Saccharomyces cerevisiae S288C: one gene and its partner. Changing the gene in region 1 together with any one later gene gives a genetic interaction. Each region holds a gene or a part of one and is shown on either strand. Other genes may lie near its edges.

The links.
Region 2: mutations in OCA4 (region 1) and KNS1 impair growth when combined (synthetic growth defect), as found in Saccharomyces cerevisiae (2 studies listed by BioGRID, with this or other methods).

What each region holds. Positions count from the first base shown.
Region 1 is NC_001135.5:287,241-291,846, forward strand, and holds OCA4 (Oca4p), read right to left. Parts: upstream 2,019-4,606; coding exon 930-2,018; downstream 1-929. Other genes in the region: aminophospholipid translocase regulatory protein CDC50, read left to right, coding at 1-697; YCR095W-A (uncharacterized protein), read left to right, coding at 2,399-2,557.
Region 2 is NC_001144.5:105,186-109,837, reverse strand, and holds KNS1 (serine/threonine protein kinase KNS1), read left to right. Parts: upstream 1-1,938; coding exon 1,939-4,152; downstream 4,153-4,652. Other genes in the region: COX19 (Cox19p), read left to right, coding at 866-1,162; SPA2 (Spa2p), read right to left, coding at 4,491-4,652. UniProt on the Saccharomyces cerevisiae protein: Nonessential protein kinase.

The DNA of each region.
Region 1 (4,606 bases):
GCAAATATTAGGGGAGCCTATCAAAAAAGATGATCTGGATACAAGCTGTAGTCCAATAAGAAGTAGGGAAGACAAAATAATATATCCCTGTGGGTTGATCGCTAATTCCATGTTTAATGATACATTTTCTCAGGTGTTGAGTGGTATAGATGACACAGAAGACTATAATTTAACTAACAAGCATATATCATGGAGTATTGATCGTCACAGATTTAAAACCACCAAGTATAATGCTAGCGATATTGTTCCACCGCCAAACTGGATGAAGAAGTATCCCGATGGGTATACAGATGAAAATCTTCCTGATATCCATACTTGGGAAGAGTTCCAGGTATGGATGAGGACTGCAGCCTTTCCCAAGTTTTACAAGTTGACGTTGAAAAATGAATCTGCTTCTTTACCGAAGGGTAAATATCAAATGAACATTGAGTTGAATTATCCGATTTCACTCTTTGGTGGCACAAAATCATTTGTACTGACTACAAATGGAGCTATTGGTGGTAGAAATATGTCACTAGGCGTACTGTACCTCATCGTTGCAGGGCTTTGCGCCTTATTTGGCATCATTTTTTTGGTTAAATTAATCTTCCAACCAAGAGCGATGGGTGATCACACTTATTTGAATTTTGATGATGAAGAAAACGAGGATTATGAGGATGTACACGCAGAGAATACAACATTGAGGGAAATTTTATAGAGGCCAAAAAACAAACTTTAGTGCCTGTAGGTATTTGTGTTTATAAGTAAACAAGTTTTGTTGACTTCCTGAAACGTAAACAAAAGAAAAATTGAAGTATGCCTTTTTACGCTTGGAAAATAGTGCGACAAAGAACTCCCAGGGTTTGCTATTCCCATTTAGATGATGAAATGATAGAAAAGTGGAAAACGTTTATCATGAAATCATCTATACATATACGTAAAAATGTAAACTATGTAAAAATATGTTCCCTATAAAAGTGATGCTCTTCCGGAACGTTTTCTTTTTCCCACAAATCTCGTTGAAACCTGAACCAATCTGGTAATTCAGAATCACAGGGTATCCTTATTTTGACGTTATCTTTTCCCCTTGCTTTATAATAGCCATAATCTCCATTTTCTTTTTTATTAAATGCTAATCTATACCTATGGCCAAAAATTCCTAGGTCAGAAGAGGTTTTCTTCAAATCGTCTCCTAGAACTCCACTTACTTGTAATACTTTATTATTTTTCACTTTGGTTTCGATTTGATTTATTAATGTCAAAAGCCGCTGAGGCACTTCTGGCTCTCTGCAAAGGTCATCTTCATTTACTCTAATAAGTTTGCCAGAATTGGCCTTATACTCTATCGAATGCGTCCTATTATTCTCAAGGGGCAATTTTTTTGCTTTGTTGTCCACAATTGTCTTATTATCCTTCTCCTGTTCTATCTCAATGTTAATTATTTCTAGAAATGTTTCCGCAAAATAATTTCTATTCTTACCAGAAAATAATCTGTACTCATTTATGATTGATGCAATATTCCATTTCTGAATTTTTCGAAGTATACCAATGACCAACGCGGTCTTATCTACCAATAAAACATTATAATTATCCACATTCAATAATGTTTTGAAAGTTCTTTTTAAACACGTGCTCTTAATCAGCATTAAGTCATCATTGTCAGTCAAGTGGTAAGCCAATTCCTCCTGAATTACAGGATCCCCTGTAGTAGAATTTTGTGACCCATTTGCAGTGGATTTTTTCTTTTCTTCCTGTAATGATAGAGTACTGTTATTATTCGAATATAAATTTGCGTTAGATACAGAAGAGCTTTTTACCGGAACTGCCGCAGCCGAGAAATCAGACATCCTTAAAACAATCCATTTTATGGATGATCTTGTGAAAAAATCTTTGAAAAACTTGGATGGTTCTTGACCTCCAATAAATATAGCTGTCTTTAAATTGAGAGTTTCCAGAAAGGATAAATTTAATGTCTCCACTTTAGAACATCTATATATTCCTTCTTCAGCAATCCCAAAGTTAGCAGGTGGAACCAGCATTATGAATTCAGGTTATGGATCGCACCAGTGCTGTAAGTGTCTCTCTTTTTATTCTACGATCTCCATATAACAACCACATCTCATTTCTTTACCTTACTGTCCATTTAATGCTAGAAAACTTCCGAATATTGTATTATTATTACCCGGATATGTCAAGGCGGTATATTAAGATGTTCCTTTCAAAAGTTTCATTATACCGCATACGGTAAGGACAGCCATAAGTAGTTTTACTGATAAAATATGGGGCTAAAGAACTGTATATTTATGGATAGCACTAAAAGTAAAGATTTTCCCCGTGTCCTGACTTGGAGAAACAAAATTTCATTGTCATAAAAAACTTTTAAAATATGATATTCAAAGCTTGAGCATTGGGCTTCTGGATGACAGTTCTAATCAAGTTGGGTCTAAGGATATTGCATGTATACAAAGGATTCTTTCGGAAAGTAATCCTGAAATATTTTTTTTTTTCGTCTGAACATACGAAAGTAAATAAAAAAAGTTCAATGCATGCCTTCCTATGCAAGATTTATAAAAGGTGAACAGGTCAGGAGCAGCCACATCTCAATAAAGGCAGTTAAAGACGGTGATGTAGGTGCAGAAAGAGAAAGTGAACAAAGGATGATTTGAGATGTGTAATGATTCGTTTGAGCAGCAACAACTGCTAAGATATTCATACTAATAGGCCACTTCACACATTATGCCTTGGAGAATATCCTGCATTGCTCCTTTTATAGTATAGTCTATTCAGCACTAACAAGCAAAGCGAACATAATGGTAAAACTAACTTCAACTGTTGCTGGTGTCGCCTGCATCGCTGGCCCTCCCCTCCACTACGGCCATTTTAGCACAACTTGAATGAGTCAACTTGGTTGAGTTGCATGTTAACGTCTCTGATATCAGAGCTCACTTGCTCAATAATACATGTTACAAACTGCCCACTAAATTGAACACTCTAACATTATATTGACCTGAATTATTTGAAACGAAGTCAACAGAATGATCACTGATTTTCCAATGTACTCCGCTATGTTGAAGCTAGCCATCTTAAGCGATCAATGACGGTGCTCAATCATTCTTCGAAATGGGCTAAAAATGACAGTTGAAATATATTCTTTACGTTCATTTTTTTTCATACTGCAAACCCATTCTAGAACCAATGGTAAAAGTGACGGGAGTTGCTTTCTTTTACTATTTCAATGATAGCTATAGCCTGCATACACACAAAAGAATGTAAGTGATTGCGTGAAAGCTTAAAGTCTTAAAACTGTATTTTTTTCAACTCCTCCCATATATTAAACTGGTCCTCACAGTTCGCAGGATAACTAACAATTAAAAAAATTGTTCATATGGTTGTATTTCTTTCCGTCTCACATTATTAAAATTCAACGAAGAAGTTTCTACAATAACAGACAAGGGCCTACGATTACTATGTACTGGAAGGTGAGTCTTGAATTCATCCTCAGAGATTGTTCTAAAGACCAACAGAAATCCATATAGATTACCGTAGTTACTCTGATGGAATTTCAGAGTAAGACCCTTGTCAACTTCATCACTTTAAGTTGAGATGTAGAAAGACACTTTTGTAAGGTCTCCAACAAGTATATTTGATAAATAGACTGTTGAGCTACAAAAACTCAATGTGAAGTAAAAGACCTCATAAATGATCGATTATCTGTTTGGCAGGTACTAATAAAACTGCATTGGTGTCTTTTTTCACTTACGTTAAAAAAAACTTTTTGCAATGATTTAAGCGTGCGTGAAGATAACACTACAATCCATTTTAAAGCAACATCCACATTGAGTGTATACACCACAAAGGTTTTTTCAGGGCGTTTTTCTCGCCACTTTATGTTGACCAAAATTATTAATGGAACTTACAACGTTTCCAAAAGTTAGTTAAATACATACGTCTATTTACTAAGCAAGAAATATATCATGACAAGCCCAAATATTATATTGTTATGTTTACAAAAAAAAAATGGCTATATACATCAAGTCTGGAGGCTTTTTATAACAAGCAAGTGGGGTAACTTAGACATAAGATTGACTTCTTTGAATTCAACAAAAATACATACTTTTGATGATTTCAATGGTAGAAGCAGTAGTAACTATGCCGATGAAATAAAATCCTGATATCATCTATATAGTAGTACTCACGTTACTAGTATATCATCTATAAGATGTAGGAAAATGTCATAAGAAATGAGAAACAGTCATTAAATTTAATGGAAACGAAATGCAAGGATTGGTGATGAGATAAGATAATGAAACATAGAAAACGAAAGGAGAAATAACAGTAGTATTATTATTATTATTATTATGTAGAAATATTGACTCTCTCTTGTAGATTCATATATCTTCAAGGGGAACTTCTTGTACATTTTGTATACCTATATTATAGCGTTTAACAACAATGGAATCCCAACAATTACCAAAATTTTCACACATTCCTCATATAAAATCTAAGCAATGACTAGAGAACTATCGCTAAATTATATAGAGCAAGGAAACCGAATAATTACATGTGTCAGATAAGAAAAAAATAAAGAAAACAACGCGTCATGAAAAAGAGTTACTGAACCTTCAGA
Region 2 (4,652 bases), on another chromosome or scaffold:
TTTTCCTGTCACCCACTTTTATTTTAACTGAATTATTATATTTAGCTTTACACATATAAGTCTCAACGTCTGACATATGTCACACTTTCTTTACCGCCAGACCACTTCTAATATTCCGAAAGCAAGGGCTATGAGCAGTCCGACAATTCGGAAACCATAGCTCGCCATAATTTACACGCTCTATGCACATATTAAAATACATTTAAACAGTACTTACAGCGCATCTGGGATGGTTCGGTTATGTACCAGGACAATATTAAGTTGACGCGTCAGTTGAGTAGTAATCGTCCTAGTATTTTCGCCTACCATGCCGCTTTTTGCGTTTTTGACCGCCTCTGGTCCCTTATACAATCCACAGGCAAAAAAAAATTACATAACAAGATTACTCTTCAAGAAACCTGGAAAATATTTTTTTGGGCAGTTTTTTAAGACGATAATAAGTTCTATGCCTCATTTACGCACCAGCGGTTCTATTACCAAGCTGACTCTTATCGGCGATGAGTATGATCTAAGGCTCGGGCCGCCCATTTTGCTGCTCCCGGTCAAGTAGCACGCTCCCTCTTTTCTTATCGCAGGCTTTGCCCACTACCCGATCTCTAAAGCGCCCATTTAACCTTTTTTAAAACAACAGCTTAAAAGCTTTTTGGATAAAAAGCTTTTATTACTACATCTCTGCATCTTCTCTCCGGGGTCTAAGAAAAGGGCTCAAATTCGCGGAGTTGAGAAACGAGAAAATCCAAATAAAGCGAACAAGAGGGAAAAAAATTTTTTCTTCCGTTCTTTCCTTCTTCTATACTTCAAGAAAACAAGCAAACGCACCCACTACACACAAAGTATCTTTTACGAAACATAACACAAGAATCCAATGTCAGGGAACCCAGGAAGCTCGCTGAGCGCATTGAGACCTACTCCACCCGAGAGAGGTTCGTTCCCGCTAGACCACGACGGCGAATGCACCAAGTACATGCAAGAGTATCTCAAATGTATGCAGCTTGTGCAGAACGAAAATGCAATGAATTGTAGACTACTGGCAAAGGACTACCTGCGGTGCAGGATGGACCACCAATTGATGGACTACGATGAATGGTCACATTTAGGTCTTCCTGAGGATGCTCCAGGCAACAACGGTAAAACCATAAAAGACGCCACCGATAATAAATAGCCGCCCACATCGGAATATCGAATAAAAGCTAGACGCTGTTGGTAATATCATACTTTCTACAACAACTGGTAAAGAACTTCTTTTTTTGAAATAGCCGCCGATATGGCGCGAAGTGACCCTGCTCGAGGCTGTGCGGGCCCAGGCCCGTCCGTTTCTTTTTTTTCTAGGGGGCGGCAAACGGGCCAAAGGGGTCAGCGTGATTGGGCGGTTTTCCACAAAGCTTTAGTCTCTCTCCTCACGCCTTGGCTTAGTGAGTGGCCGGAGTTAAAGTTGCGAGGAAACACACAGCGAAGGGAAAAAGCTTTGGCGTGCTTAACGATATGGCTTATGGCCCGGTTGCAATGCTGGTTTAGTTTCCGATTACGATTTTCGATTTGAATCCTGGCTCCACATCTCCCACCCTCTTTTTTTATCTCTAGCATCGTGCGTTGGATTTTATATTATGAAGTTCCTATATTAGAATAAAGTTTAGTATTTACTTCCCAGATCTACCGGATTTACAAAGTATTGTTACCTCACCACCAAGTGAAAGGAAACAGTGCAGTAACTCCTCGTGCTTACGCTAACTAAATAGATATTATATTCACGAAATACTGCGCCAGATAGCAAGCAAACCCAAAAAAAAAAAAGAAAAAGAAAAAGGAAACAAAGTGGGAGACAGAAAAAGAGTGAAAGAAACATAGTATTTACCAAGTCGAAGATTTAGCACAACAAAGACTAATCTACACGCATACTGCTCTTCTTCATTATTGCTTTATCTTCCGCGTACCTTAGTTATGTCACAGAATATTCAAATTGGCACTAGAAAACGTTCAAGAGCAAATATGAATAATTCCACTACTACGGGCCCTGCTAACAATACAAGCTCTAACAAGACCTTTTTGGATAATTTCGAAGAAACGCGCACAAACAAGCTGCTGGACGAGATGTTTGCTCGGCAAAATTCTTTTCTAACAGACAATCTGAGGAACAGTCTAGACCTGAATCAAGCAGACAATCCGCTCCGTCCTCGGCAACACCAACACCAGTTGTTCTTGGACAATGAAAATGCCATAGAACTAGACGAGGAGCCGCGTATCATTAACACCACAATCAATAACAGTAATAATCATAACAGTAGTCGAGTGGACGAGGATGCTGACGATGACATCATTTTTATCAAAGAGCAGCCAATTCAGTTTTCGTCACCTTTGATTCTGCCTAGTAGCAGCAGTATCAATAACAACAATAATATTGTTACTTCAAATAATCCAGGGTGCGGTACCGCAGCTACAAGCAATAGTACGTATATCACGACACCAAAGAAATTCAAGAAGCAAAGAACCATCTCACTGCCTCAGTTGCCTCTATCGAAGCTGAGCTACCAATCGAACTATTTTAATGTTCCTGATCAAACCAACGCTATCGTGCCAAGAGTAACGCAAACTGAAAATGAGCTGTTGCATCTAACGGGGTCGTGTGCAAAGACTCTGGAGGGCAACAAGGCAGTGAATCTCACGATTGCTCACAGCACTTCTCCCTTTTCCAACCCACCAGCACAAATAGCTTCCCTGCCTCAATCCAACCTCAAGAAACAAATTGGTTCTTCACTACGGAAATTTACATCAAACGGCTCTTCAGAAAGCGCATCATCCAATAAATCAAATTTCAAAACGGACAAAGACGGTCACTACGTTTACCAGGAAAACGACATATTTGGCAGTGGCGGCCGCTTTGTTGTGAAGGACCTATTGGGCCAAGGCACGTTTGGTAAAGTACTTAAATGCATCGATAACAAGTATGAACCTAATTACGTGGCTGTAAAAGTGATAAGGGCTGTAGATAGATATAGAGAAGCCGCCAAAACAGAACTAAGAATTCTACAGACTATCCTGAATAATGACCCTCAAGGTCAGTTCCAGTGCCTCTTGCTAAGGGAGTGCTTCGATTACAAAAATCACATTTGTTTGGTGACAGATCTATACGGCAGGTCCATTTACGATTTTATGTGCTCCAACGGCATTGCCAGGTTCCCCGGCTCTCATATTCAGGCCATTGCCAGACAGCTAATCAGATCTGTCTGCTTCTTGCACGATTTGGGCATAATACACACGGATTTGAAACCAGAAAATATCCTGATTTGTGACGAAACCCATATTGCTCAAAAATTGCCTTTGAAAACCGTACAGTCGCTAAGCAAGAGACGCCGTGAAGCCAGTAAGGGGAAGCGCAAAATCTTGAAAAATCCAGAAATCAAAATCATTGATTTCGGTAGCGCAATTTTCCATTACGAATATCATCCTCCTGTAATATCCACTCGTCACTATAGAGCCCCGGAAATTGTCCTTGGCTTGGGCTGGTCGTTCCCCTGCGACATTTGGTCCATCGCGTGTGTCCTAGTAGAACTGGTTATTGGCGAATCTCTTTACCCCATTCATGAAAATCTAGAACATATGGCTATGATGCAACGAATCAATGGAACCCCTTTCCCCACAGACATTATTGATAAGATGTTTTACAAATCTAAACATAAATTGGGCAACTCTCCATCAGACCTAAATTCAACGGTGATAAAGCATTTCGACAGAAAAACTTTAAGCTTACAATGGCCTGAAAAAAATAAACGCGGAGATACCATAACCACCGAAAAGTCAATGAAAAGGGTCTTGCAGTCATGTGATCGCTTAGATATTTACATCTCAAAGGTCTTGAAACAGGATTACGGCGATAGCTTAAGCATCAATTGGAATCTACCGCCGGAGAAAAACTGGTCTTTGATAAATTCGAAATTGGCATGGAAAAGACAAACACATTCCTCTTCTTCCTCAACTACTGATGAACTCGATAAGGAAACTTTCTTGTTTTGGTACTGGTTCATCGATCTACTCAGGAAAATGTTTGAGTTCGACCCAACAAAAAGGATTACCGCAAAGGACGCTCTGGACCATGAATGGTTTAATCTGGGCATACTGGATGATGGTATTGCAACTTATAATAATACCCAAGGATAGTGGGTGTTCTCGTTCTACTTTTCTCTTCTTTTTTTCACATCTTTTACTAGTTCCGTTTTTTTTTTTTTTAACTCTTCTTTTTCATTTTCCGGTTTTTAATAATATTTCTTTAAATTTCTATATTCAATAAAAATTCTTCCTACATATATATCTTCATATTCAAACATTTATAGTATTTTTACTAATTTTTTGTTGTTTTAATATACTATAATAATATTATTATTACTGCTACTACTATTATTATTATTATTATAATTATTATTATTATATGTCATACATAATACATTCTATTGATTGTCTTTGTCTTCCTTTTCTTTCTCCTCTAGATACTACTAACTTTACTTCAACTTCGAATTCAAATAATTTATTTCGTCCTTCAAACTTGCCTCTTCTACAGTTTTTACCAGCTCCTTTGTACATTTGGCAACATCAAACGCAATCCCTGCCAACCGCTGTTTGAAGTTTTTGTCAGCATAATCTTGATCGCTCTTTTCCTTCGC